Daphnia pulex: one gene and its partners. The protein of the gene in region 1 purifies or fractionates together with the protein of each later gene. This does not show direct contact. Links are inferred from orthologs where the notes say so. Each region holds a gene or a part of one and is shown on either strand. Other genes may lie near its edges. The genes, in order: U2 small nuclear ribonucleoprotein A'-like, splicing factor 3B subunit 3-like, probable ATP-dependent RNA helicase DDX46, pre-mRNA-processing factor 19-like, small nuclear ribonucleoprotein F, splicing factor 3A subunit 3-like and small nuclear ribonucleoprotein Sm D2.

Evidence for each region.
Region 2: the proteins of U2 small nuclear ribonucleoprotein A'-like (region 1) and splicing factor 3B subunit 3-like purify together in Homo sapiens (affinity purification with mass spectrometry; 5 studies listed by BioGRID and IntAct, counting the BioPlex papers as one, with this or other methods). This does not show direct contact. The link is inferred for Daphnia pulex from reciprocal best matches to the Homo sapiens genes SNRPA1 and SF3B3.
Region 3: the proteins of U2 small nuclear ribonucleoprotein A'-like (region 1) and probable ATP-dependent RNA helicase DDX46 purify together in Homo sapiens (affinity purification with mass spectrometry; 3 studies listed by BioGRID and IntAct, counting the BioPlex papers as one, with this or other methods). This does not show direct contact. The link is inferred for Daphnia pulex from reciprocal best matches to the Homo sapiens genes SNRPA1 and DDX46.
Region 4: the proteins of U2 small nuclear ribonucleoprotein A'-like (region 1) and pre-mRNA-processing factor 19-like fractionate together in Homo sapiens (co-fractionation; 3 studies listed by BioGRID). This does not show direct contact. The link is inferred for Daphnia pulex from reciprocal best matches to the Homo sapiens genes SNRPA1 and PRPF19.
Region 5: the proteins of U2 small nuclear ribonucleoprotein A'-like (region 1) and small nuclear ribonucleoprotein F purify together in Homo sapiens (affinity purification with mass spectrometry; 3 studies listed by BioGRID and IntAct, counting the BioPlex papers as one, with this or other methods). This does not show direct contact. The link is inferred for Daphnia pulex from reciprocal best matches to the Homo sapiens genes SNRPA1 and SNRPF.
Region 6: the proteins of U2 small nuclear ribonucleoprotein A'-like (region 1) and splicing factor 3A subunit 3-like purify together in Homo sapiens (affinity purification with mass spectrometry; 6 studies listed by BioGRID and IntAct, counting the BioPlex papers as one, with this or other methods). This does not show direct contact. The link is inferred for Daphnia pulex from reciprocal best matches to the Homo sapiens genes SNRPA1 and SF3A3.
Region 7: the proteins of U2 small nuclear ribonucleoprotein A'-like (region 1) and small nuclear ribonucleoprotein Sm D2 purify together in Homo sapiens (affinity purification with mass spectrometry; 5 studies listed by BioGRID and IntAct, counting the BioPlex papers as one, with this or other methods). This does not show direct contact. The link is inferred for Daphnia pulex from reciprocal best matches to the Homo sapiens genes SNRPA1 and SNRPD2.

The regions. Positions count from the first base shown.
Region 1 is NC_060021.1:10,325,758-10,329,019, reverse strand, and holds U2 small nuclear ribonucleoprotein A'-like, read left to right. Parts: upstream 1-1,270; 5' UTR 1,271-1,413; coding exon 1,414-1,495; intron 1,496-1,632; coding exon 1,633-1,673; intron 1,674-1,732; coding exon 1,733-1,839; intron 1,840-1,903; coding exon 1,904-2,132; intron 2,133-2,195; coding exon 2,196-2,310; intron 2,311-2,372; coding exon 2,373-2,525; intron 2,526-2,588; coding exon 2,589-2,632; 3' UTR 2,633-2,762; downstream 2,763-3,262. Other genes in the region: lariat debranching enzyme B-like, read right to left, coding at 1-130, 202-302, 360-651, 721-917. UniProt on the Homo sapiens protein: Involved in pre-mRNA splicing as component of the spliceosome. Associated with sn-RNP U2, where it contributes to the binding of stem loop IV of U2 snRNA.
Region 2 is NC_060019.1:9,348,549-9,352,688, forward strand, and holds the start of splicing factor 3B subunit 3-like, read left to right. Parts: upstream 1-1,340; 5' UTR 1,341-1,495; intron 1,496-1,821; 5' UTR 1,822-1,877; coding exon 1,878-2,103; intron 2,104-2,168; coding exon 2,169-2,339; intron 2,340-2,526; coding exon 2,527-2,803; intron 2,804-2,995; coding exon 2,996-3,146; intron 3,147-3,357; coding exon 3,358-3,599; intron 3,600-3,766; coding exon 3,767-3,945; intron 3,946-4,004; coding exon 4,005-4,140. UniProt on the Homo sapiens protein: Component of the 17S U2 SnRNP complex of the spliceosome, a large ribonucleoprotein complex that removes introns from transcribed pre-mRNAs.
Region 3 is NC_060028.1:6,108,852-6,112,928, forward strand, and holds the start of probable ATP-dependent RNA helicase DDX46, read left to right. Parts: upstream 1-1,277; 5' UTR 1,278-1,456; coding exon 1,457-1,476; intron 1,477-1,628; coding exon 1,629-1,769; intron 1,770-1,849; coding exon 1,850-2,030; intron 2,031-2,100; coding exon 2,101-2,212; intron 2,213-2,288; coding exon 2,289-2,461; intron 2,462-2,580; coding exon 2,581-2,919; intron 2,920-2,983; coding exon 2,984-3,143; intron 3,144-3,208; coding exon 3,209-3,325; intron 3,326-3,415; coding exon 3,416-3,616; intron 3,617-3,676; coding exon 3,677-3,759; intron 3,760-3,817; coding exon 3,818-4,015; intron 4,016-4,075; coding exon 4,076-4,077. UniProt on the Homo sapiens protein: Component of the 17S U2 SnRNP complex of the spliceosome, a large ribonucleoprotein complex that removes introns from transcribed pre-mRNAs.
Region 4 is NC_060022.1:3,393,987-3,398,195, reverse strand, and holds pre-mRNA-processing factor 19-like, read right to left. Parts: upstream 2,747-4,209; 5' UTR 2,634-2,746; coding exon 2,615-2,633; intron 2,520-2,614; coding exon 2,370-2,519; intron 2,308-2,369; coding exon 2,166-2,307; intron 2,106-2,165; coding exon 1,964-2,105; intron 1,900-1,963; coding exon 1,714-1,899; intron 1,658-1,713; coding exon 1,472-1,657; intron 1,393-1,471; coding exon 1,056-1,392; intron 989-1,055; coding exon 639-988; 3' UTR 501-638; downstream 1-500. Other genes in the region: heterogeneous nuclear ribonucleoprotein 27C-like, read left to right, coding at 3,054-3,112, 3,245-3,452, 3,656-3,857. UniProt on the Homo sapiens protein: Ubiquitin-protein ligase which is a core component of several complexes mainly involved pre-mRNA splicing and DNA repair. Required for pre-mRNA splicing as component of the spliceosome.
Region 5 is NC_060019.1:9,593,819-9,596,393, reverse strand, and holds small nuclear ribonucleoprotein F, read right to left. Parts: upstream 1,352-2,575; 5' UTR 1,211-1,351; coding exon 1,205-1,210; intron 1,126-1,204; coding exon 997-1,125; intron 878-996; coding exon 746-877; 3' UTR 737-745; exon of another isoform or gene 695-736; intron 683-694; 3' UTR 501-682; downstream 1-500. Other genes in the region: phospholipid-transporting ATPase VD-like, read left to right, coding at 2,404-2,575. UniProt on the Homo sapiens protein: Plays a role in pre-mRNA splicing as a core component of the spliceosomal U1, U2, U4 and U5 small nuclear ribonucleoproteins (snRNPs), the building blocks of the spliceosome.
Region 6 is NC_060028.1:1,227,858-1,232,062, forward strand, and holds splicing factor 3A subunit 3-like, read left to right. Parts: upstream 1-1,461; 5' UTR 1,462-1,574; coding exon 1,575-1,718; intron 1,719-1,783; coding exon 1,784-1,942; intron 1,943-2,002; coding exon 2,003-2,075; intron 2,076-2,133; coding exon 2,134-2,225; intron 2,226-2,289; coding exon 2,290-2,511; intron 2,512-2,574; coding exon 2,575-2,885; intron 2,886-2,946; coding exon 2,947-3,055; intron 3,056-3,116; coding exon 3,117-3,191; intron 3,192-3,259; coding exon 3,260-3,461; intron 3,462-3,533; coding exon 3,534-3,667; 3' UTR 3,668-3,705; downstream 3,706-4,205. Other genes in the region: moesin/ezrin/radixin homolog 1-like, read right to left, coding at 53-202, 778-819. UniProt on the Homo sapiens protein: Component of the 17S U2 SnRNP complex of the spliceosome, a large ribonucleoprotein complex that removes introns from transcribed pre-mRNAs.
Region 7 is NC_060018.1:305,245-307,981, reverse strand, and holds small nuclear ribonucleoprotein Sm D2, read right to left. Parts: upstream 1,525-2,737; 5' UTR 1,354-1,524; intron 1,285-1,353; exon of another isoform or gene 1,253-1,284; 5' UTR 1,137-1,252; coding exon 1,132-1,136; intron 990-1,131; coding exon 734-989; intron 665-733; coding exon 557-664; 3' UTR 501-556; downstream 1-500. Other genes in the region: proteasome subunit alpha type-6-like, read left to right, coding at 1-42, 113-323, 386-443; cofilin/actin-depolymerizing factor homolog, read left to right, coding at 2,733-2,735. UniProt on the Homo sapiens protein: Plays a role in pre-mRNA splicing as a core component of the spliceosomal U1, U2, U4 and U5 small nuclear ribonucleoproteins (snRNPs), the building blocks of the spliceosome.

The DNA of each region.
Region 1 (3,262 bases):
TTTTTCATTATGTTGGATTGTAGCAGCAAACCTACAATGAAGGTGGGCAGCAAACCAATGTTTAGGCTTCAATTCGTGAAGTAATGTTTCTCCAGCTTGACTTCCCAATACATTTTGGGCTATCTCATCACTGGAAGGGGAAAGAAAGAAATGTGTAAATTGAATTGTGTTTTGGAACAATTAGGTAACACTATTTCAAACCGAAAGAATGGTTTCCAATGCAGAAGTTCTCTGGTATCTGCATAATTGTAGACACCACGAGGCCAATCATGTGAAATAAAAATATCTATGTCTTCTTTTAACTGAAAATTAAAAGACATTTAAGTTTTTAATCTTTAAAACAATCAAAATGTAATTACCTGTTTCAAGCGAAATACTTCAAGACTACGAACATGATAAGCTGATCTCATAGTGCTGTTTGTGTAGGGAGGTTTTTCAAAATGTCCTTTCAAGTAATCATGTCCTTTAAAGATGCCTGATATTCCCGCTATTCTGATGCCACCAAACTTGACTACACCAGCATAGCCAAGATAATATATATTTGGAGCAACCCAGCCTCCATATGCAAGTTCTTGTAGATAGTTTGATGCTTCATGATTGCCTCCAATGAAAATAGTTAAAATTGGTGCTTTCAATTCACCATTATAATACCTGATATTGAAAAAAACAGTAACAATTACAATAAACTCTTATTTGTCTAAAACAATTATAAATAAATACTTGTAGAATGTACAGATATGACGGAATTTGTCAGGTACTGCCATGCATTGTAAGTCACTTTCGTTTCGAACAGCTTGAAAATCTCCACAACAGATGAGCAAATCAACTTTGACATTTCTTTGCCTCGCCAAATTCTCGACAGACCGGTAAATTTGATCAAGTTCACCATGAGCGCACCCTTCAACAGCAATAATCATGTTTTATACTGTCTTTAACTTGATATTTTAAGATAAATGTCAAATGCTGTTTCAAAGTTGATAACTTGCTTTCAAGTTACAACACAAACTCAATATTTTGAAGTTGTTTACAGTTTTACTGGAAGCCGAATCGTTCGTGGCTATTGTCGTCTGCTTAAAACCTAGCGGCAAAAACACAGCCATTTTCATATATTTTCTAACGTTTATAATTTTTTTTAATTTTGTTGACAAATTTAAATACTTTAGTTTAGAAAAGTATTTATATTTCAAGATAAAAAGCTACAGATGCACAAAACCTTTGATAAAACTTTAGTTTGAAAAGTTAATTTCCTGTTTGGAAATGTATTCGGAAATGAGTTGCAACATCGCACATGGCGTCACTTAGATATCCCTAGATTTGTCAACTACAAACGTGCAAAAACATTTTGTTCAAGTTTTAATTGCATCTTTTCCCAAATTCAATTACGTGTTTAAGGTTTAAAAAGCCAAAAAGAAAATGGTGAAGTTGACGGCTGAGGTCATTCACTTGAGCCACCAGTACACGAATGCCATCAAAGAAAGAGAACTAGATTTAAGAGGTATGTAACCGGCGTTCAGCTTCAATCTCATTCAGTCAGTTACTAAAGTTCAAAAGTTTTTTGTGTTGGCTTAAAAAAAGTGATGTAATTGTAAAAATATTTCGTGAAAATACAGCTATTTTTTGTCATCATTTTAGGTTACAAGATTCCTGTAATTGAAAACCTAGGAGCAACTTTAGTAAGTAAATTTGTAGTGTAATCATGCTGAACAGTTACTGGAGTGTTTTCTTTTTTCAGGATCAGTTTGACACAATAGATTTTTCAGATAATGACATAAGGAAATTGGATGGTTTTCCCTTGCTGAGACGAATTAAAAGTCTTCTCCTAAACAACAACAGAATCTTGTAAGTTTTTTGTTGTATTATTCACAAATTTAATTTCATGCAAATGATTCTTTAAAATCTGTAGACGCATTGCTGATGGATTAGGTGAAGTCATTCCAAACCTCGAAACCCTTGTCCTGACAAATAATCATCTGCAAGAGTTGGGCGACCTTGACCCATTAGCAGAATTCTCTAAACTCACCTATTTAAGTCTACTGAGCAATCCTGTTGCAAATAAGCAACATTATCGTTCATATGTGATAAACAAGTTGCCAAGCCTGAGGGTGTTGGATTTTCGTAAAGTAAAACTTAAGGTAATAATGTTCTACCTGACATCAGGAATTTTCCTCCTTATTCATGTAAAACTTGATTTGAAGGAGAGAGAAGCCGCCCGAGACCTATTCAAATCAAAGAAAGGAAAAGTATTGGCGAAAGAAATCGCCCAGAAAAGCAAGTTTCTTTCAGCTGAAGCGGGAAATAAGGCACCGATAGGTAAAAAACACAAATGTTTTGTTTTGTTAGCCTAAGAAATGTTATTAAATTATTTTGTGTAGGTGGTGCATCTGCGGAGGAGGCTCGTGCAATCCGAGAAGCTGTTGCTAATGCCTCCACCTTGGAAGAGGTAGAACGTCTAAACCAAATGTTGAGGGCAGGTGTCGTACCTGGAAAAGCCACCCAAGGCTCCAGCAAAAACGGAAATGCAAATGGTAAATTCACATCCTGTCTTCAACTTCCTTGTTTCGTTTGTTAAAACTTTTGAATTGTTGTAGGTGAAGATATGGAGGAGGAAGAAGATGAACCCATGGAGAAATGACAATGCCATCACGGGTAAAAATTAATTTGTATCAAGCTGTTAATGTGAATGTGGGACTACACTTTGATAATAAAAATATCGCTACCCTAGAGTAAATAAGGTAGCAGAAAGATATTTTTGAAATTACAAATTGCCCGTCTAATTTGTGTCACAGTTAAAAGACCGAGAAGCGATTAAATTTGGTCATTTTAACAAAACTGTGTTGTGAAAAATGCGTAGCGAAACCAATTTTCAGTCATAGAATTAGATATGCTACATAGTGTGTATATCCTACGTGTATTCGGAAGAGGCTCATCTGCCATTTGCGGAATGAGTCATGCATAGAAGGCGGATGTGGGGGTGTGCGTTATTTTCAGCCGGACATGACGGGTTAGGAGTAGCTTGGAAACTGTAGACGATCTAATTTAGAGCGTTTCGTGTCCTTTCATTAACGAGCGTGCCCGTGCGTAAGTTTCGTTGTTTTGAGTAAGATTTTTGGCGCCCACTCCTATTTTTCCCGATACCACATCCGGAATATCATGAGCTAACACCGCCATGATGATGTGATAATGGCAGCAAACTTGGTTTGTAGGTTACAACTTACAGCTATACGAAAATCCAGAACTGATCGTTTTAAGTTCAAAATTCTAC
Region 2 (4,140 bases), on another chromosome or scaffold:
GAAAACTATAATCTCATGCTGTTCCCGACGACGACGAAAGTTGGCCCAAAACTACCGACTGCTGATATCGCGTATACAACAACAACAAGTCGACGATGTTAAATTCCAAACGTCGAAGAATTTCGCTGCGGCTATCTTTTGGAAGATGCTGCAATAAAGGCTGTTCCAAAGAATGCAAGGACAACATCAAATTCTTCGTTTTTTCTAGTTTCGTTTTTTTTCAAACCTCTAAACTTGTTCTTAATAGGAAACATCAAAAGTCAAGAGTTGATTTCCGACTGCAAGCCGTTCCACATTCCATCACTGGCGACAGAGGACGAGTTAATCGGTAAAGTTCGGGAACTCGATTGTTTCAGTCAATATGAATTGAATGACTCGAAATGAATTCAACGGTACATTATGAATTGAAAAAAAAAGATAAGTGCTTCAACACCCTTATTCGTTATTCCTTACCGCACCGCAAATAAAAATTTTTGAATAAGAAATTTTAAAAGATAGACAAGTTCGGGATGCTGAGTTGCACAACCGCAAAATTAGGATCGTGCGCCAACGAGTTTTTGTAACGTTGTGGGGATAGTAGAAAGCGGGTTTTTTATTATTTAAGCATAGAATTACTTATCTAATCTTAGAAATGTTCAGGATTATCGTTGTTTAGAACATTCTGCTTTTTATAGAGTAATTTTAAATGTATAATTCAGCTTAGTTTACCCATTAAAATTAAAGAAAGTCCAAGCCTGGGATGCTGTTTAGTCTTTTCTTGTGTTTTTTGACAGATCTGCTGACAAGTGACAAGCTCAAACACACAAGAAAAGACTAAACAGCATCCCAGGCTTGGACTTTCTTTAATTTGAATGGGTAAACTAAGCTGAATTATACATTTAAAATTACTCTATAAAAAGCAGAATGTTCTAAACAACGATAATCCTGAACATTTCTAAGATTAGATAAGTAATTCTATGCTTAAATAATAAAAAACCCGCTTTCTACTATCCCCACAACGTTACAAAAACTCGTTGGCGCACGATCCTAATTTTGCGGTTGTGCAACTCAGCATCCCGAACTTGTCTATTCAAAGCGTGGCTGCATGGTGGTTCTAGAGAGAAACTCGCGCGCATAGCAAGGGATCGGAATATGAACACGTCTTTTGAATTACTTTATGAGTAATAAAAACAGCTGTGAATAAATCATTCTTGATTATCACCACTGAAATTTTTTATTAATTTCACAATTTTATTGTATAATGCATTATGAAATCGTTCTATAAATAATAATAATAATTTAAAAAATCTTGTGATAAAGAAAGCGCAAATGCATTGAAAATGCTGTGTTTAGGGATAGACCAAGTAGAGAGTCGATGTCAGATGTTCAAAAATATTGCCTATCACACAATGCACGAGAAGTCGAACCCTAAACTCGAGCGCGACGCCGGAGCCAAGAGAGATTTCACTCAACCTTTGCTGAATTTTCCATCATGGAAAATCTGTAACATCCACAGGTAAATTCAAGTTTGACTACACATTTTAGTTCCAGATAGTTGAAAAGCAGTTATTTTGATGGTTAAATGTGTGTTTTTGGCGATGTTTAAAATATTGAAGCATGTCAATTTGAAAACCTTGCCGGGTGAGATGCCGGGGCTGTAGTTTCTTTCGCGTACTCGTCTAGCTATTAAAGAAAAGAAAACCCCTTACAACTTTACCGCCTTTCTGTGAATTAAGTTTGGTGGCTATACATGAGGGGGACATTAATTTTCAAATGGTGTGTAACATTGTCATTAAACATGTTGGACAAATGTAAGAATTATATCTGATAACATTTTCGCAGGTGATGCTCATCTAGGCAGTTCAAGTTACACATTGGACACGTCAACTTGAAAGAAAATGTATCTTTACAATCTGACTCTGCAGCGTGCCACTGGCATCATTCAGGCAGTCCAGGGCAACTTCAGTGGCACCAAGCAACAGGAGATTGTCATTGCTCGTGGAAAGGTACTCGAAATTGTGAAGCCGGATCCCAACACTGGCAAAGTACACACACTTCTCAGTCAAGAGGTTTTTGGAATCATCAGGTCAATCATTAGTTTCAGGCTTACTGGAGGAAATAAGGGTGAGTTGTGCAAATATAATTTTTAAAACATACATCCTGCTAACTTTCATTAATTCTGTATTTAGATTACCTTGTGGTCGGATCAGACTCTGGGCGAATTGTCATTCTTGAATACAATGCTGCCAAAAATGTGTTTGATAAGGTGCACCAAGAAACGTACGGCAAAAGCGGTTGTCGTCGGATTGTTCCTGGACAGTACATGGCAATTGATCCCAAAGGCAGAGCTGTTATGATCAGTAAGTTTTGATCCGTTTTTAATTTAAATTCTTGCAAGTGATGAGTTACGTTTTTATGTCTTCTTTCCCCATCTGAGAAAGATAATGCTGATATCTAACGTTTTTACTGAGAATTTTTTAAAATCGAAATCTTGTGGCTTGAGAGTGCGCATTGCTTTAACATTTATGTTTTTTTTTTGCATTGCAGGTGCTATTGAGAAGCAAAAACTGGTCTACATTCTGAACAGGGATGCCCAAGCCCATTTAACCATTTCTTCTCCGCTGGAGGCTCACAAGTCAAACACTCTAGTTTACAACATAGTGGGTGTTGACGTGGGATTTGAAAACCCTGTATTTGCTTGTTTGGAGATGGATTATGAAGAGGCCGATGGTGATCCAACAGGCGAGGCGGCACAGAAGACGCAACAAACGCTTACATTCTACGAACTCGATCTGGGTTTAAACCACGTCGTTAGGAAATATAGGTGCGTAACAAATCTTGGTGATTTTGGTTTTGCCTGGTTGGGTTTCAAAACCCCTTAACTTTACTGCTCTCTTGTCACTTAAAGATTGCAGCTATACATAAGGGGGACATTATCTATCATAGTGTGTAACATTGTTGACTTATGTGTGACAATGTAAGAAATATTTTGATGAACATATCTTTACTTTAATAGTGAGCCGTTGGATGAGCACGCCAATTTCCTCATCACTGTTCCTGGAGGAAACGACGGACCTTCCGGAGTTCTGGTTTGCTCCGAGAACTACATCACATATAAGAATTTGGGTGAACAGCATGACATTCGTTGCCCAATCCCCAGAAGAAGGGTACGTTTGATCATTTCATTATGTTATTTGGCGCGCGGTATCTCCAGCCGTGTTCTATACACGTGCTGGTCGACTAGTGCCTAAACTATACTTGGAGATGTTTGCATCGTTGGATTGTAATGCGCATATTGCATGCTGTCCTGGAACGAACCTCCGATAAGTTATTTATTCCATGTATTGAGGACGGTAGTAATAAGTTTTTTCTCTGTAGAATGACTTGGATGATCCGGAAAGGGGCATGATTTTCGTCTGCTCGGCTTCCCATCGCACCAAGGCCATGTTTTTCTTCCTTGTCCAAACGGAGCAGGGCGATATTTTCAAGATCACCATGGATATGGATGAAGAGGTGGTGAGAGAATTGAAAATCAAGTACTTTGATACCGTTCCAGTTTCGTCCAGCATGTGTGTGTTGAAGACAGGCTTTCTATTCGTCGCATCGGAATTTGGAAATCAGTTAGTTTTCTTAAATTTTTTTTTCTATTTGCTGAAATGATGTGTATTGTCATCCGTGTTTCACCTGAGATAACACTTTGATTATAATTTTTGACTCTGATTTCGGTTACAAAATTTGAAGTAGTTTTATGGGTTTTCAAGTGTATTAATTTTCCTTGTGTTATTAGTTATCTTTACCAGATTGCTCATTTGGGGGATGATGACGATGAACCCGAATTCAGCTCTACTATACCATTGGAGGAAGGAGATACTTTCTTCTTTGCTCCGAGACCTTTGAAGAATCTTGTTCTCGTGGACGAGATGGAGTCTTTATCTCCAGTTCTGGCCTGCCATATTGCTGATCTCGGTAGGTTTGATAATTCCTCCTGTTTTGAAAGGTTTTTAACATTTGTTTTCAATTTACAGCCAATGAGGATACACCCCAGTTGTATGCACTTTGTGGTAGAAGTTCTCGTTCGTCTCTTCGTGTTCTCCGTCATGGATTGGAAGTATCGGAGATGGCTGTTTCTGAACTTCCCGGTAACCCCAATGCAGTGTGGAC
Region 3 (4,077 bases), on another chromosome or scaffold:
AGTTCAAAGGAATCGCCTTAAGTCATTTGTTTAATAATCGGCAATGAGTTTAAGTCGGTTAAATAAACTTTTCGCGCCATGAAAATTCCAGACAGCCTGTCTGATTTCATTCGTATTTCTTTTTGGGGGGGGAGGGGGGAGACATGGCCAATGGCTAATTACTCCTTTTTCTTTCTTCCCACCTTTCGCTTTGTTCCTTACCCCCCCAAATTCGGCCTATAAACCAAACCCAGTTCCCCGCCATATGGATAGGTGGCTATTTGAAAAAAAATCGCCGTTCGGATTTTTTTGAAGGATACTGTACCTTTCCTATTATATCGTGGTTTTGGCTTCCATTACTCCAAGGACAGAGTAATAGATAATGGTGTACCCACTACCATGTTAACTCCTCCTCTCGGAAATTTTTCCTAGAGCTGCAGCGAACATCACGACTCGATAGTGAAAACTGAGCTTAGGTATCTATGTTTATCCTCTATCACCAACGCCTCTTGCTACCGAGCGAAACCTTCGGCAAAACCATTCCCCATTTCCCACCACACCTGCTGTGGCGCTAATTTTAAGAGCTGGGAAGTGGAAAGCTAGAAACACTTTTAGGGAAAAAGGAAATGGAAGGCCTCCTGTCCTAGTGGCTACACCATTATCTACTACTCTGCCAAGGAGGTCTACAGACAATTATTTCTTTCTTTTCTGGGTTGCAACCATTATACTTCTAACATCGAGTCCACCAGTCAAGGAGGCCGGATTTGGGGGTCTGGGGGGCTTATCATTTTTGGGGAATTGGTGACAAGGCATCGCAGTACATCCCCAAATAAACCATTTTATCGGAATTTTACTGTTTTTTGTTGTTATAGTTTTGAATTCTTCACGAAAAACTATGAGGGCCCACCAGAAATTGTAGCGTTTTTTCGGGTTTTTTACATCAGTTTTCGGGTGAACCAGGCCGTTTAAAAAACGGATTTTTCAGAAGATTTTGCCCCTTTCCACAGACGTCTTGCCCCGTTTTTTATCTAAGCTTTATTGGCAGAGATATAAGGGATTTAAAATCTGGAAAATTTTCCGCCATTTTCTAACGATTTTCGTAATCATCCCACTTCATTTTGCAAGCCATCTACCGGCCGATTTTGAAAACCCTCTGGTGTGTAGGACAAAAATCTGAATAGCCGGGAGAAGAAATTTCCCTTGCATTTTCAAAATCTAGATATTATTTATAAACATGGATATGGAAAAGACAGGACAGGACAAAGTTCATTTTGCAAAAAGCTAGCAGCAGCTAGTAGCCTGAGCAGAGCCCTGAGCTAGCAGTTGGCAATTTCAATTTGTTTGAAGTAAAATTCATTTTAAACATGGCAATGTTGCCTGTATCTGTGTATCAAAATTGACGCACTCATGTGCATTTTGTATTTAACTCATTTCATTGCAAAATTTATTAAGTATTCCGAAATTAAACGTCTTTTCGATGGCTCGTGACGGACACAAGTATAATTGTTATTTTTATTTAACTTATTAATTCATTTATTAAGTAAAATAATATGCAGATTATAATAACGATATAGATTATGTAAATTTTTTGTTTACAGTTTTTCATTGCTTAATATTATTATTTTATTTACATTTCTCATCTACGCTAGGCATAATAAACGATCCAGAAGCCGAAGCAGATCCAGTAGTCCTCGTTCTAAAAAACTTCGAGAACGAGATAGAGATGGGGAACACAGGCAAAGAGACAGGGAACGTGAAAGAGATAGAGATCGGGACAGGGAGCGTGACAAGTAATTAATTTTTCATGTTTACAAAAGATAGTCTGATCCATGTTAAGAAGTAAAAACTACCTTTTTGTAACATTTTCCAGGAGAAGAAGCAGATCAAAAGATAGAGATCATGATAAATCTAAAAGATCAACAACAACTTCAGAACGAAGAATTTCAAAATCCCCTGATAGAAAACCAACTTTAGTCGAAGAAATTAAACCTGTTTTGAAATCTGAATCAGAGCTAAAGGAGGAAGCAGCTGTTGCAGCCATGATTGCCAAAGTAAGTTGTTCTATTTTTTAATATTTTGAAAGGGTGTACATTGTTTGTTTGTCTCTTTTCTTGCATATAGGAAGAGGAGCAGAAAACTTTGGACTTGGAAATGCAGAAACGCCGAGAACGAATAGAAAAATGGCGTTTAGAACGAAAGATGCAGGAAATTGCTCAAGTTAAATCTGATCTAGGTAATAATCTAGAAATAACTTTTTAAAAAAACTGACTGTCTTATATACTTCATAATATTGCCATCCTTTTAAACAGCCAATCAAAGAGCTGGGAAAAAATGGTCACTTGAAGATGATGAAGAAGAGGAAGAGGAAGATGGAAAATTGAAAACTGAATCTGCTAAAGTTGAAGCAATTGAAACGATCAACGAAGAAATTGAAGTTCAAGAAGCAGAGGAAGAAGTTGACCCTTTAGATGCTTTTATGCAGGTACTTCAGAATATCTACATGTGCCGATTTGGTTTTGCCGAATCGACATGGATTCGTACCTTACTGCTTACACTAGTATTTTTAAATCAACATCTATTTAATTTAAAAAAAAAAAATAGGACATTCAAAGTGAAGTTCGAAAGGTTCAGAAACTTGACGTTCAAAAATCAAAAGGATCTGGCGTGATGGTAATGACCGGAGTAGCAAAGAAAGCTGCTAAAAAGAAAGGTGAGCTTGTGGAACAAAATCAGGACGCTTTGGAATATTCCTCAGAAGAAGAGTCAGAAGACTTGGCATCAGCAATGTCCGGACTGGCGAATAGCAACATAAAACAGAAAGAAAAAGTTTTTAAAATTGATCACAACAAAATCAACTATTTTCCTTTCCGGAAGAACTTTTACGTGGAAGTACCCGACATAGCACGTATGACCCAAGAAGAAGTAGATGAATACCGACAGGTGTGTATGACTGATACAATTGCTAGTGCCCCAGGACGTTAAAAAAAAATTGTTTAACATATAGGAACTTGAAGGCATTAAAGTTAAAGGAAAAGGGTGTCCGAGACCTATAAAAGCATGGGCACAATGTGGTGTTAGTAAAAAGGAAATGGAAATTCTAAAAAAATTAGCATATGAAAAACCAACCCCCATTCAAACGCAGACAATCCCTGCAATCATGTCTGGTACACAACAACGAACACTTTTTTGTTGTATAAATTTTAAAAAATACTATTATTAAAATATATAGGCAGGGACATAATAGGTATTGCCAAAACTGGCAGTGGCAAAACACTGGCATTTTTGCTGCCTATGTTTAGGCATATTTTAGACCAGCCTGCATTAGAAGAGACTGATGGGCCAATCGGTACGTAGTGTTTAATATCATCGATGTATTTATTTTATTTTTTTTTATTATTATTATTATTTTACCTTCATAAATATTCCACTGTTTTAGCTATCATAATGTCTCCTACCCGAGAATTGTGCTTACAAATCGGCAAAGAATGTAAAAGATTCACCAAGTCATTGAATTTGCGTGTGGTGACGGTCTACGGAGGAACGGGAATATCAGAGCAAATAGCTGAACTAAAACGTGGCGCTGAAATTATTGTGTGCACACCCGGAAGAATGATTGATATGTTAGCTGCCAACAACGGTAAAATTTACCTATAGATTAACTATTAAAAAAGTGTCTTAATTTTAGTCTTTGAAATAGGACGTGTCACCAATTTGCGGCGTGTGACTTACATAGTTTTGGATGAAGCTGATCGCATGTTCGACATGGGTTTTGAGCCACAAGTAAGCAAGATAGTAATACTTCGTCGGGTGACTAGAAATATTTATTCCTTTTATATAGGTAATGCGAATCATTGATAACACTCGCCCTGATCGACAAACTGTTATGTTTAGTGCTACATTTCCCCGTCAAATGGAGGCCTTGGCTCGTAGAATCCTAAACAAACCTGTTGAAATCACGGTTGGAGGTCGTAGCGTTGTTTGTGCTGACGTCGAACAGCATGTTCTTGTTATGGAAGACGAACAAAAATTTTTGAAAGTTAGCTTTTTTCTTAAATTAACAATGAATTTTTGTTTATAAACTAATTTATTTTGGTAGCT
Region 4 (4,209 bases), on another chromosome or scaffold:
TTGTGTCAACTCTTTAGGGAGAAAAAAAAATGCGTCAAATTAAAGAAGACAAATTTTTTGAAGGGCAGAAAATTTTATTCATTCAACAAAACCACGCTTCCAATTACAAAAGATGCAACAATGCAACTTGATAGAAGCGACGGTTGAAGGAACTGTTTTTGGGCGACTTACCTCGTACTTTATCTGGAAAAATCTTGATTCAGGATAGCAATCCAATATGAAGAATTTGAACTATGAAATTTGAAATTAACGTAGTATGATCTCACTATTCCTTGTTTACAAGAGTCGACCGGCATTTTAGGCCAAATACATAAACCCCTGTACGAAGGAGCGGCCGATGCATCGATTGCCTAAGCCGCCATTGGGATATGCTTCAAGAAAGCGAAAATGCCAAGCGAACTGCCACGCCACTAGTGACAAAATTTCGAAGCTTTTTGTTTTATTTAATGTATCGATAGTAACGCGGGAAACTTAACTATCGATATACACTCGTAGAATTGTTTTTGATGGGAAAAATGAAACGCGTGTATTTTTGTGAGGGCGAGAGTTCGATGCGGTTTGCACACCTTACAGCAAAAAAAAGGATAAGACGAAAAATGTTCATTTAAAAATCCCCTCTCAACATTGAATACAGTGAATCACTCGATGCCATAAATTTTCAGCGTACGATCCATACTCACAGACGCTATCGACTGCGCATGGTTGCCGAAACGGACTCCCATAGCCAATGCTGTATGGTCGTTAAAAGTCTTAAGAGTTTCCCATTGCTTGCAGAGATAAACACGCACGTCGGTACCAGCCACAGCAAGGTAGGTGCCGCTTTGATCGAAGCACAAGTCCTTAACTTCGTATCCTTCGTCGAGCTGAATTGTTTTAAAATTCTTCAATTTCCGTAAATCCCACAATTTGACGCAAGAGTCTTCTGCCGCTGTAGCCAAATAGTAACCATTTTCTGAAAATGACAAAGCCGCAATAGGACCGGAATGACCTGTAATTGTAAAAATGGTAATAGTAAAGCTAATGTTTATCACAAGATTATTTTAAAAGAGCCAAACCTGGAAAGTTGGCCACGTTAGATTGTTCTTTTAAATCCCAAATTTTGATCTGTGAATCTTGTGTTCCAGTGCCGAAAATGAGACCATCTGGATGGAACTGGGCTGTCGTAAGCGGATTTCCGTCTGTGTCGGCAACCTTTGTCAACAACCGCCCAACGCGAATGTCTGAAAATGCCCAGTGTTGATCCAGTGACGTCGACAAAACATATTCTCCGGTTGCGTGGAGCGACAAGCCTGTGACAGGGCCATCATGAGCACGGATGATGGCAGATTGTGAGGAGCCGGTTATATTCCAAACACGAATCGTCGCATCAGGAGATGCTGTTATCGCGACTTCCTATAACAGATTCAAGGGGTATATTAGTATCATATAACAAAGTAAATCAAGAGAAAATTAAAAGAAAACATGAAATTACCTCTTCTGGATGATAAAGCACCTTGGTAACTTTTTTTGTATGTCCCTTGAGAACAGCAACAACCTGCTCAGTGTCCTTGTTAAAAACTGTAGCGCATCGATCGTTACCTCCAGTCAAAATATGAGAAGTATCGGCGGCGTGAACGTCCATGGTCAAAATTCCGGGCATACTTGCACTGTGCAAAGCCTATATGTAATCAATCCATGAAGATGGGATAACATTTCAAAATTATATGTCATTACCGGATGAGATGCCAAAGTTTTATATCCCTTCAAAGCTTCTGCTGTAGCTAAGCCTTCGGGCATGGTTTTGCCTCTACGTTTTCGTTCTTGAGTAAGAACAGTGGCTTTATCTTGTAATTGTGATATGATTTCCGGAGTTAATCCAGCTGCCTCGATCGGTTGTGCTGCCACACCACCCGCTTCAGCCTTACATCAAATCAGTAAATTTATCATAAATAACATACAAATAAATATCATAATGCTTTCTTACTGAGGCAGCAACAGATGGTGTAGATACAGCAGCATAGCCAGTCTGGGGCTTAAGAGTTGCAAGTGCTTCCCGTGCTGTAGACACTTCCTTGTGGAGGCGTGCAATAACACGACAAGCAGCATCATGTTGGTAGAGAGCATGACTACAAATAGAAAGAGAATGTTTGCACAATAATTCCATGTGTAATTAAGTTGGTCAATACCTCAATTCTTGTCGAGCAGTTTGTAATTGTTGCCTCAAAGTAAAGGAATTTAACATGACAGCATCCCATTCATCTTGTAAAGACTTAAGCACGGCGGGAATGCTTGTTGCAGATGGCACTTTAGGCTTAACAATTGGGGGGGCTAGAAACAAAATTTCAATTACATGTAAATTCATTGTGGAACTTTGATAAAAAATTTCTTACTTTTGATTTCAATAAGTTGATCTACAGTTATTTCTTTCCCATTGATGGGATCTACCCCGTTATCAGCAATGTACTTTTCAATCAGCCGACGTTCAAACACAGATCCTGACACCGGTGAGACCACAGGATGTTCGGGAACTTCGTTCGACACTATATAAGCAAGAGATATAAGACATTAAATATCAAATTTCTCAGAAGAATGGATTGGTTTTAAATTGATATTTATAATGAAAATGTAATATTACGAGAACAACAGAGGGCCATGATGAAGCGTGTAACCTTTTTTTATATACTTTTCACAAAAATGTGCGACAAGCCAAGATGCATATGTTCGCTTCGCTTAGGGCTAAACAGTTGCTAGACTACACTATTCAATAAAGCGCTTCATTCCTCAGTGCGAGTTTTCTTTTCTTTTCAAAATCCAATCATTTTTTTAAGACTCAGAAATTTTTTTATTGGAATGTGTAAAAGAAACAGCATAGTTTTTTATAAGTAATAATTTCATAATTTAAGTTTCAAGTTTTCAACTAGAAAAAGTGTCCAGGCAACGGTGCAAACTGACTGAAATGCCGGGCCAGCCATTTCCCCCATTTCTCAACTGAAGAAGCCAACCCAAGCGCAGTGCGAACACTCCTCGAAAATTTGAAAGATTCGTTTACTGTTATATTCAATTTAAACTGAACAATGGCCTCTCAACAAAAATTCCCTGGAAAAGAAGGTGGTGATAATTCGAATGAACAAGGGTAAGAAATTTTTTCCATTTATAATATGACATGTGAAGTTCATGGGAGAATGTAAATCCATGACGCCGTACACTAAGCTTTTCATGATTTGCGTCCATTTACTATTTTTTGGTACGAATCTTGTTTTTTTAGTAAAATGTTCATCGGAGGTTTAAGCTGGGAAACGACGCGCGATAATTTGCTTCGATATTTCAGTCAGTATGGTGAAGTTGTTGACTGTGTGGTAATGAAGAACCCAGAAACTGGTAGATCGAGAGGGTTTGGGTTCATTACATTTGCTGATCCTAACAATGTTGGTTTAGTACTACAAAACACACCCCATATACTCGATAATCGCACAGTAAGTTTTTATATTTTCTTCATACTCTTATTTGCACTACCTGAGCGGTGATAGAATGTTTAACATAATTTTATCTCCTTTCGCGGTATTGCTACATAGAAGTGGAAGGAATTGAAGTTTATATCTCAACTTGAGATATATATTTGATTTCTTTCTACATTTTTGGTTGTTTTTTATGATCTCATATTTTTATGTTTATGCAGATTGACCCCAAACCTTGTAATCCACGTGCCGAAATGGTACGCGCTCCTCGCCGGAGTATGGGTACAGGAAATGGTTACAAAGTATTTTTAGGTGGGCTTCCATCAAACTTGACAGAAACAGATCTTCGTAACTTCTTCTCGCAGTACGGAAAGGTCTCTGAAGTCGTTATCATGTACGACCAAGAAAAGAAAAAATCTCGAGGTGAGTCACTTTCCTCAATTAGTGGGTATTAAAGTTAATTAAAACAGCGTAAATAAACTATGAACGTCCTTACATAACGTATGACGCAAGTGTAAGTGGTTATATTCCGAAGATTCGATGGATTCCTTTTTTGATAACTTTGCTAACTTTAATAGTGTGGTTATTTTATTCCTATAGGTAAGCAAATGGCTAAGTTCCTATCCACGTTTACTTCTACTGCTCATGTGAAAGAGTTTCCGCGAATTACAGTAGATAATATGCCATTAAGGAACTTGGGAGGGTGGATTTACAAGTTTTACATCTGACTAAATATTGGCATACCCATTGGGTTGAGTCAATATTTCTTTCATAA
Region 5 (2,575 bases), on another chromosome or scaffold:
TAAATGTGATCCTGACAGTAACGTTTTAATCTTCGTTGTCTAGTTAGGAACGTACATTTGTACAATGTTTATTATTTGTTTCAAACCGTAGTAATTCATCTCGGAGTTCAACAGCCTATAACTCCCCTAACGTTCAAACGACAGTGATAACTTGCGCATGCTTACCGTCCTATAGTGTTAACAGCCGTGTTACATGCAGGCCAATTGAAACGTATTGAACAATTAATATTCATAAGCAATTAGGTATTCTTATGACATCAGCTGGTACCAGCGTGAGCCAATCGGAAAAGGTGTTTCCGGATTTGTTTGCCTTTTTGATTTATACCTTACAAAATATATTTACGAACAAGTTGGTGTAAGTGGAAAAGAAATGTGACTTGAGTTTTACGAGCATGCGGGACTGCGGGCTGCCTACTAACTTCATTCATAAGGTAGCTTAACCATTTTCCATTTAGACAAAGCCTTTATTTTCCGACTAAATGGAAAAAATCGCCGGAACGTAAGAAATTCCAGTATACTTAACATTAAATCACCAATACGGTAGACAACGGTTCTGTGTTTGGAATTTGGATACTGAAAAGCTGTTTTTTTACTTGTTTGTCCTTCGTTGTCTGTGGGAATCTTGTAATGTATACACCAGAACATATTTTTTAGGGTTTCCAGGTTTCCTATACAATAACTTCTATGAGATAGATAGGAAATGACATTATGTATTAAAGGATGAAAAATTCAATACAAACAGCAATCAATCTCTCATTTCTCCCTCCTCATCATCTTCTTCCACTCCACGTATGTAAAGTACATTGTTGCACCTGACAAGAACTTCACCCAAGTTTCCAGTACAGCTTCCATCAATATATTCTTCTGTGTTTGCCAACTGTGATAATATAAGAAGAATTATTGCCATTGTTCATATATGCACACTGTTTCGTGCAACAGCATGTTTTCATTTTTTTACTGATGAAAATGCACTACATGGTATAATTATTACAGTACCTGAAGATTCATGTATCCATCAACTGAAACGAGATAACCTTTGTATTCATGGCCCCACTTCAGTTTTACCATAATCGGTTTGCCGGTTAAGGCATTGAGAAAGGGTTTGGGATTGATGGGCATGGGTGCCTGAAAATATGAAATATAACATGTTAGTAAATGGTCGGCTAAAAAGGACCACCCAACAAGATTTAGGTTTTGAACTTACTGCCATGATTTGTATTTGTTTTAGTCAACGATTTTACAAAATTTGATTGAATGTTTGACAAGCGAGTCAAGCCGCGTTATTTCAGTTTACACGTTCTGTAACGTAAAGATCAGAAGTAAGGGTTGCCAAGTCGTCTTATTAAGTACATCAAATTTTGAGAAAGTTTTTCCATTTTGTAGGAAAGAAATTTACATATTTAAACCTAATAACTAGTGAACTAAAATTACCTTATAAAATAGGATTATTTAAATAATTTTTTGATGTAATGTAATGAGATATCCATCGTAGAGCAACGATCCCGGATCTCTGGTTCCGGACCAAAAACTCACGTCACCTATTCTGTTTTCAATCATAATAGCTGGAAAAATTTACAACCAAAGGAGAATTTTTTTTTATGTATCGTTATTAAGTGATTTTGTTTAATAAGTGACTCGTGGTCGTGGATATGAAAAGTCTTTTTAACAAATTGGCAAGAACAGAGAAGCTTCACAACCAGAATTAGCGCTCTCTAAAAAGTAATAAAAGAGGGTTTTGCGTTTCGCGGAATTAAAAAGATAGGAATTTATCACAGTTTGTCTTGATACAGAAAGACTTTTTAGGTTCAATTTTACATTTTGGAAGCTTTTAAACGGTCAACAAACCGGTTTCTTATTTCACTCCGGTGTCCATTCCGCGCAATTTCCTTTATTATCGGTTACCGAGTGTAAAATCTGGCAGTAAAGCTTGTACGGTGTATGCAGCAGAGGCTGAAAGCAGTGCACAGCTGGAATTTGCCGTTATATACGTGGACACACAACAAGTTGCTCAGTTGCTGACACTAAACTCTATCTTACCATTCTTTCATCTTTTTGCACTTTTTTTAAAGTTGACGTCACTTTCCAACCGATTGTTTTTCTTCCATTTCCTCACTGGGTTCCATCATTGGACCAAATAAACGAACAATCGTTCCACTGTTAAGACGATTTGTTGATTTTAGTCTGCCATGGACATTTTTTGAAAACAAAAGCTGACTTGTCTTTTTCAGCAATATTGAAATAAGATGTTTGGTGAGTAAATAACTCTCCCTTTTCCATTGCTCAGAAGTTTGTGTTGATTTTGAGTTGGTTGTTGGTAGTCACAAGCTTGACAGTTAGTTTCGTGAATGGTTAAAGAAATTCAATTGTAATTGAATTTGGTACTCTCTCATTTTCAGGGACGGTATGGATTTTGATTCACCGGGTACCACCTACATTTTTCCTGATGTGATGCAACCCCCAATAGAGCTTGAAACTGTCAACCCCCTGCCAAGCAGGGGTTGGCCGGGTGGAGTTAAGGGACATGTTCGCTCTGCAAGTCATGGTGTCATCGGAGTTTCCTTATTGAATCCAACAT
Region 6 (4,205 bases), on another chromosome or scaffold:
GGCCAGTTGTGCTAAAATTGGCAGCATCTTACGTCACTGTACACAAACTCACCGATTTCGGCATGTTGGATGATCTTGTTTGCTCTTGGGCTGTTTCAAGCTTTTTCTCTCCTCTGACTCTTGTTGGAAGAGTTGAAAGCCGGGCTTTTACTTCTTCTTCTTCTGCAGACTCACGCTCGCGCGAACAATACGCACGGAGAACCTGGAAAGAAAGAAAACAACAGGAAGAAATTAATGTCAGACAGACAGACTGGGGTTGTTGCTGGTGGTGTAGAAGAGATTCAATAGCATATGGTCAACAAAATCTAAAGTACACAGATGGTCAGCATGTGGGCACATAGCTAGAGTGATGGGATTCTATATGTATATGTGAGTTGTCGAAAGGCCAGAGTGACTTCCCAACACATCCTGTCCATTTGGCAGGGTGCCGTCACAGTTTAGCGAATGCATCAGGGTTGATCGAAAACCAAGACATTCCTTTTGAAATGTCAAGAGGAGAAAAAATAAATTACGGTTGAATGGAAAGAATACAAGGAAGGAATGGTGATGTCATGGCTGGCCCGTACATTATTTCCAAACCCAGAGAGATGAGCATTCATTCAGACACCTGTATTTCAACATGAGCCTTGAGTGTCATTGATAGGGAAAGGATGAAAATAAGGGAGGGGGGAATGCTTAGGGCAAACACTCGAGTCAAGAGGCCGAATCGTTTTTCGATTTTTCACGATTCCCAATGGCGAACACACCAAACACAACTCAAGAAACACACACACACACCACGCCTATTGTTTGAACGACGGCCACCTGATAAACAAACATCAAGTTCTTTTCGGTTTGGATGTGTGGATATACACTAAAAAATGTTAATCAGATTAAATGTAAAAGAATAAAACAGAAATAAGTACTGTTGCGTATACGTGAAAACCACTCTCTCGGGTGACAGCCACTTATAACGCACTGAATCGGCGGCGGCTCTCGACCGTTGTTGGCCCTCAGTATACCTCCCCTCTTCGCTCTTCTGCAATATGGCTACCAATAGCTTAGCTCAGCTTTTTTTTCTTTTTTCTTTTTATTTCGATTTTCAAAGACTTCGCTCCATCCCTCTGGCGACACTAGGAAACATTACCGTCCTGAGTCCTGACAGCAAAAAAATGCTCACATTTTCTTGGAATGCAATGAATGAAATTGGTTTTTAATGATTAGGAATAAATTAAAATTTTTAATTAAGCTAGAAAATTTATTAAGCTGTGTATATTGAGAAGGTAAATGAATCAAAATTTAATTTTAAGGGGTTTACACTTTACAGTCTTGTAAACATGAAATGAGTAACAAATCATCAAATTTAAATTTAGACAATATATTCTTTTATTTTAACGAATTGTACCATTTTAATAATTAAAAACATTATAATTAAAAAAGTGAAAATAGTTTTTGCAAAAAATCGATAGAATACTTTAGTTCTTACAACGGCCACCAGTTTGTTTTCCAAGCCCAAGCATTGTGATTTTTGCTCGTTTATTGCCGGCTTGTTTAAATTTTTTTATTTTATCATACAATTCAATTCATTAAAACCAATGGAGACTTTGCTAGAGCAGCAGAGGAGATATCATGAAGAAAAAGAGCGTATCATCGACTCCATGGTCAAGGAAACAATCTTCAAAAAGACCACTCAAAGGGAGATAATCAACTCGGAACACCGTCAGAAAATTTTGCTTGACGTATGTAAACTTTGGCTCATACAATTGAACAAACAACTCTTAATGTCGTATTTTGATAACTGTAGAGGTATATGGAGAGTACAAGAGTTTTGAAAGAGATCTATGAAGACAAGGACGGACAGCGCAAAGAGGAGGTGGCACTGCTCTCTGGACCAAATGAATTTGTGGAATTTTACAACAGACTAAAACAGATCAAGGAATTTTACAAAAAACATCCAAATGAGGTATAAAACACATTCATTTTCTTTAAGTGTCATTCAATAGCAGTTGGTTTTGTTTCACAGATTGCTGTACCAATGTCCATGGAATTTGATGAGTTTGCCAAACAGAGAGAGAGTGGAGCTGACGAAACAAATAGTAGGTTATATCTGACAGAAAGCACAGTCATATAAAGCTAATGTAATTTGATTTTCAGATTTGGTTGACTTTACCGATGAGGAGGGCTATGGCAAATATTTGGATCTTCATGAAAGCTATGTGAAATACACAAATTTAAAAGGAATTCAGGTCAGTTTATAGATTGAAACAAGAAACAAATCGAAAAAAATTAACACAGTTATATTTCTTACAGAAAATTGACTACATTAGCTACCTTAATATGTTTGACCGTCTCTTTGATATTCCCCGGGAGAAGAAGAACGCTGAATACAGAAACTATCTACAAGCATTGGTGGATTATTTAGTCGATTATGTTGCTCGAGTAAAACCAGTCATGGACCTTGACAACTTGTTTCATGAAATCGAACAAGATTTCGAAAAGGACTTTGTAGCGGGTACATTTCCTGGATGGCCGGTAAGTCTATTTACGACTGTTTCTATTTTCTGTCCAACCTAACTAACGCTGGCAAATTTATAGAAAGAAACAACCGGAAGTGCTTTGGCAAACGCAGGTGCGGCGTTGGATATTTCAGCCTTTTCATCTTGTGAGGAATTGGCATCTCTAGGACTGGATCGTTTGAAATCAGCATTGATAGCTTTGGGTCTCAAGTGCGGTGGAACACTCGAAGACCGTGCCAAAAGACTCTTCAGTACAAAAGGTCTGTCGGTAGATGAAATTGACAAATCTCTCTTCGCCAAAGGCCAGGGTAAAAATCGAGGTGCTACCGAACAAGATAAGGAAGCCGAAAAACAAAAGAAGATTGCCCTTCTGGAGGCTCAAGTTTATAAGTAATTCCATTTAAATTATTGAATGAAATTGAATGAATAATTAATTGTGAATAATTCATAGACTGATTGAGATCTTGTCTGAACCACGGCATGCTACCAAAGAGAACGTGGAACGTAAACAGGCCCGAACAGATGGGGAACGAGAGGAGGAAGAAGAAGACGTTGTCGAGGTATAACTTAATTACTTTGACATATTTCCTTAAACTTTAAATTCTCAACTGCCATTTTCAGGTCCCCGAGGATGAAGATGAAGACGATGACGTCCCTTACAATCCCAAGAATTTACCACTAGGTTGGGATGGAAAGGTATAAATGAACCAACATTAATAATTGTGTAACTTTGTTCTAATCTTATCGATTCATCTCTTATCCAGCCCATTCCATATTGGCTTTACAAATTGCACGGCTTGAACATCAGCTACAATTGCGAGATTTGCGGCAATTACACGTACAAAGGTCCAAAGGCGTTTCAACGTCATTTTGCCGAATGGCGTCACGCTCACGGCATGCGGTGTCTGGGTATTCCCAACACGGCCCACTTTGCTAACGTAACACGAATCGAAGATGCAATTTCACGTAAGCTTTCAGTTTATTTTTGTTTTTCCTGTCCCCTACCGATTAATAATAAAATTCTAATTGAAACTTCAGTTTGGACAAAATTGAGAAGCCAGAAAACGTCAGAACGTTTCGTCGCCGATCACGAGGAAGAGTACGAGGACTCGATGGGCAACGTCATCCCCAAGAAAACGTACGAAGATTTGCGTCGACAGGGTCTCTTGTAAAGAAACATGACTGGAAAAATAAATCTTATAACTTCGTGCGCGGTTATATTTTTATTCCATCACATTTGCACAGAGGAAGCGCAAGCTCCTTGGTTGTTGTCGAGTGTCACTGTAATATTGGTAATCTTAATCTATGTTTCGATTTATCACTTTGTTGTCAACTTGTATTACTGAATCATCTTCCCATCACAAAACTTTGCTCAGATGGAGTTTTTCGTCATTCGTCTCAATTCCCAGCTCATCGACATGTCGAGAAAAAGAATATGGATTAATGCTTATGTGTCACTGATTTCCGTCGATATCCTCATCGATCAGCTACTTTTAGTATACTTGCATTTTAACACACTTAAAGTATATACCACCTTACTATAGGTATGTAATCTTAATCATATTCGAATTTTAAACAGTCATCTTATAACAAATATTTAAAACCTCTGAGCAATCACGATATTGAAAAGGCACCCCAAGCTTTAATCACTTGCTTATAATTGAATTTGTCTTTAATTGATAACATCTGTATTTGAAATATCGAAATGGC
Region 7 (2,737 bases), on another chromosome or scaffold:
ATGAAGAATTGGGGCCTGCTGTATACAAAGCTGACCCAGCAGGTATATATCTAAAATAGGGTGTAAAGTTCTCAAATTGTATGCTTTATTGCTGTTTTACTTTTTTTTCAAGGATATTACTGTGGTTATCGTGCTACTTCAGTGGGTGTTAAACAAACCGAGGCATCGTCGTATCTTGAGAAGAAATACAAAAAGAAACAAAACTACACACATGATGAAGTTATCCAGCTTGCTATTACAACTCTGTCTCATATCCTAACTGCTGATTTCAAGCCATCTGATATTGAAATTGGAGTTGTTTCTAAGGATCAACCAGGATTTAGGTAAGAAAATGCGCAAAATATTTAAGTTTAGGAAATTAATGTGACTGATCTGATTGTTATAGAATTCTGTCGGAAACTGACATCGATAAGCATCTGACTGCAATTGCCGAAAAAGATTAAGTTTGATTTTGTAACTTTTTCTTTCAACATTGGAATAAAACGAGATAATAAAACACATTTTCCGCTGTTCGATTTTTTTATTTCATACAAAAGTGAGAGATAAACACATACAATTATTTTGCTCCAGGAGTACCAGCCAAAGGATTTCTTAATACTAATATTACAGAATCTCCACGTAGGAACATTTTGGAGATAAAACGGTCCTTGTTGACTGGTTTGCTCTATAAAATAAATATACAACTGTCACTGTTGATAGATGAATGAATGAATGCAGAAATAGTGAAAATTACCTTCTTCTTTCCTTTCCCTGTTCTGGGAACTTCAGTCCACATTTCCTTGACATTTTCTAGAACCATATTGCAGTGACGGTCAAAAGCTTTAACACGTCCCAGTAGCTTTTTGTTGTTACGGCAGTTGATCAAGACCTGAGTGTTGTTTTTTACACTCTGAGTCAAAACTGAAAGTGGTCCAGTGTTGAATTCTTCTTCTTCCCGTTTGGCCAATTCCTCCGGTGTCATCTCCGACTTGGGTTTATTTGCAACAGCCCTATGGAAAGAAACATTTATTATTTAGTGCTCATACGAAACTGTCAAGTAGAGAAAAATCTGCAGACACGGAACACTGTAACTAGCTGAAAATATAGATTTAAAAATTTTCTATTTTGAAATTGAACTTAAGCTTTACTTACGCCATGATAAATAGAAGGATGTAAACGGATAGAGAAATATTCTTTGGAATATTTTTGAGCCCGGCTTCGTTTAACTTTTCAAACCGTTATTCACTTGTTTTTCGTAAACAAAACGTACATGCTGCGTTGTCATATTGTATTAATTAGCATTAGACGGTTGATGCTATTTTATGTCTTATTTGCGATTTAATTGCCAAAAATTGTTTTTTAATGTTGACTTACATTTTTAAGAGACACGTTTCAATTTCTAATAATTGTTGTGAAAAGAAAAGAATGAAATTTGCCAAGAAAAACATTTACAATCCCAGACGTCAGACGTCTGGGACTCTGTACTGGAATTCGTTTTAGTCGAGAGGAAAGGAAATACAAACCTCAGAAAGTAGAGTCAAGAGAAAACCGAAGCGGTTGACAATTGTCAGCCGACAGATGTTATGTTATGTAGCATAGCTTGTCTAATGCCATATATGGACATATTCCCCCCGTATGCACAGACTATTCTTTCTCATGGTCCCCAATGGAGAACGCTTTCCAGCGTTGTTGATAAGTCATCCTGAAACGGCGAAAACTTTCGAATCACGCTGTTATCGGCTGTTCATTGTGCGAAGGCGATCTATGGCAATTGAAACTTTTTGGTCTAAATTATAGAAACAGAGAAAGTTGTCGACACCGGTCCCGAGAGTTTCAGATTTTTAATACATAGGGGAGGGGAGGGCAGATTAGAGGGAGGGGAAGTAAAAATGTGAGTCATCGATGTCTGCCCATAAAAGGTCATCCTCCCCGAGAAACTGAATGAAAGAATAAGTGTGCAACTGGCCCAATAATTTTTTTTTTTCGTTAAAACACTCATGCGAGATGCACACCATTTATTAGGAAGTCGGAATGATCATTTAGAGTCGGCAACTTTTTGCTCAAGCAGAAAAATCTGCGAGTAGAGGATTTTACAGAAAAAGTTACTTTTCGTAACTCTCTCCAGGTTTGTGGTTTGGGCTCCCCTTTTTCGGGTTAACAAGCGCCCGATATGGACAACCAATCAGAGAATGTGCAACCAGTACACACAAAATTCTCTACAATCGGCATCATCCTTCAATCGCTAAGCAAGCAGAGACCCCTGGCGGTTACCCGAATTCATTTAACGACATTTGAGATTTTACATAACAGCAAACAGAATAAGAGTCATACAAATTATTTTTAAAATGATAAATGATGCGCCTATCATTATATGTTTTATTTGTGATAAATTAGTGAAGTTTGTAATATGGTTCGAAATAGGCATCGTTTGACGGCGCTGTATTCCACCCCCAGATGACGCGCTTTTCTGGGTGTGGACTGGGTAGCGCCAAGTTTTCTCAAGTTTGGGGAACAGCCGCCATTTTGCAGTGCGAGGTCCCGGCCGGTGTAGAGAAGTCTACTCTGAGTTTCCCCTCTTCTTTCGCCGCGCCACGAGTAAAATCTTATCGAGGGCATTTTCTCTCTCTCTCTCTCACTCGCACCACTCACTCCCCCCAGTGCCGTCTCATCCCGCAGTCATTCGGGTTGATCTTTCAGTTTAGGCGTCTTTGAGCTTTGCGTGAAATTTTTCTAGACTTTTTTCTTAGTCCAAAATGGT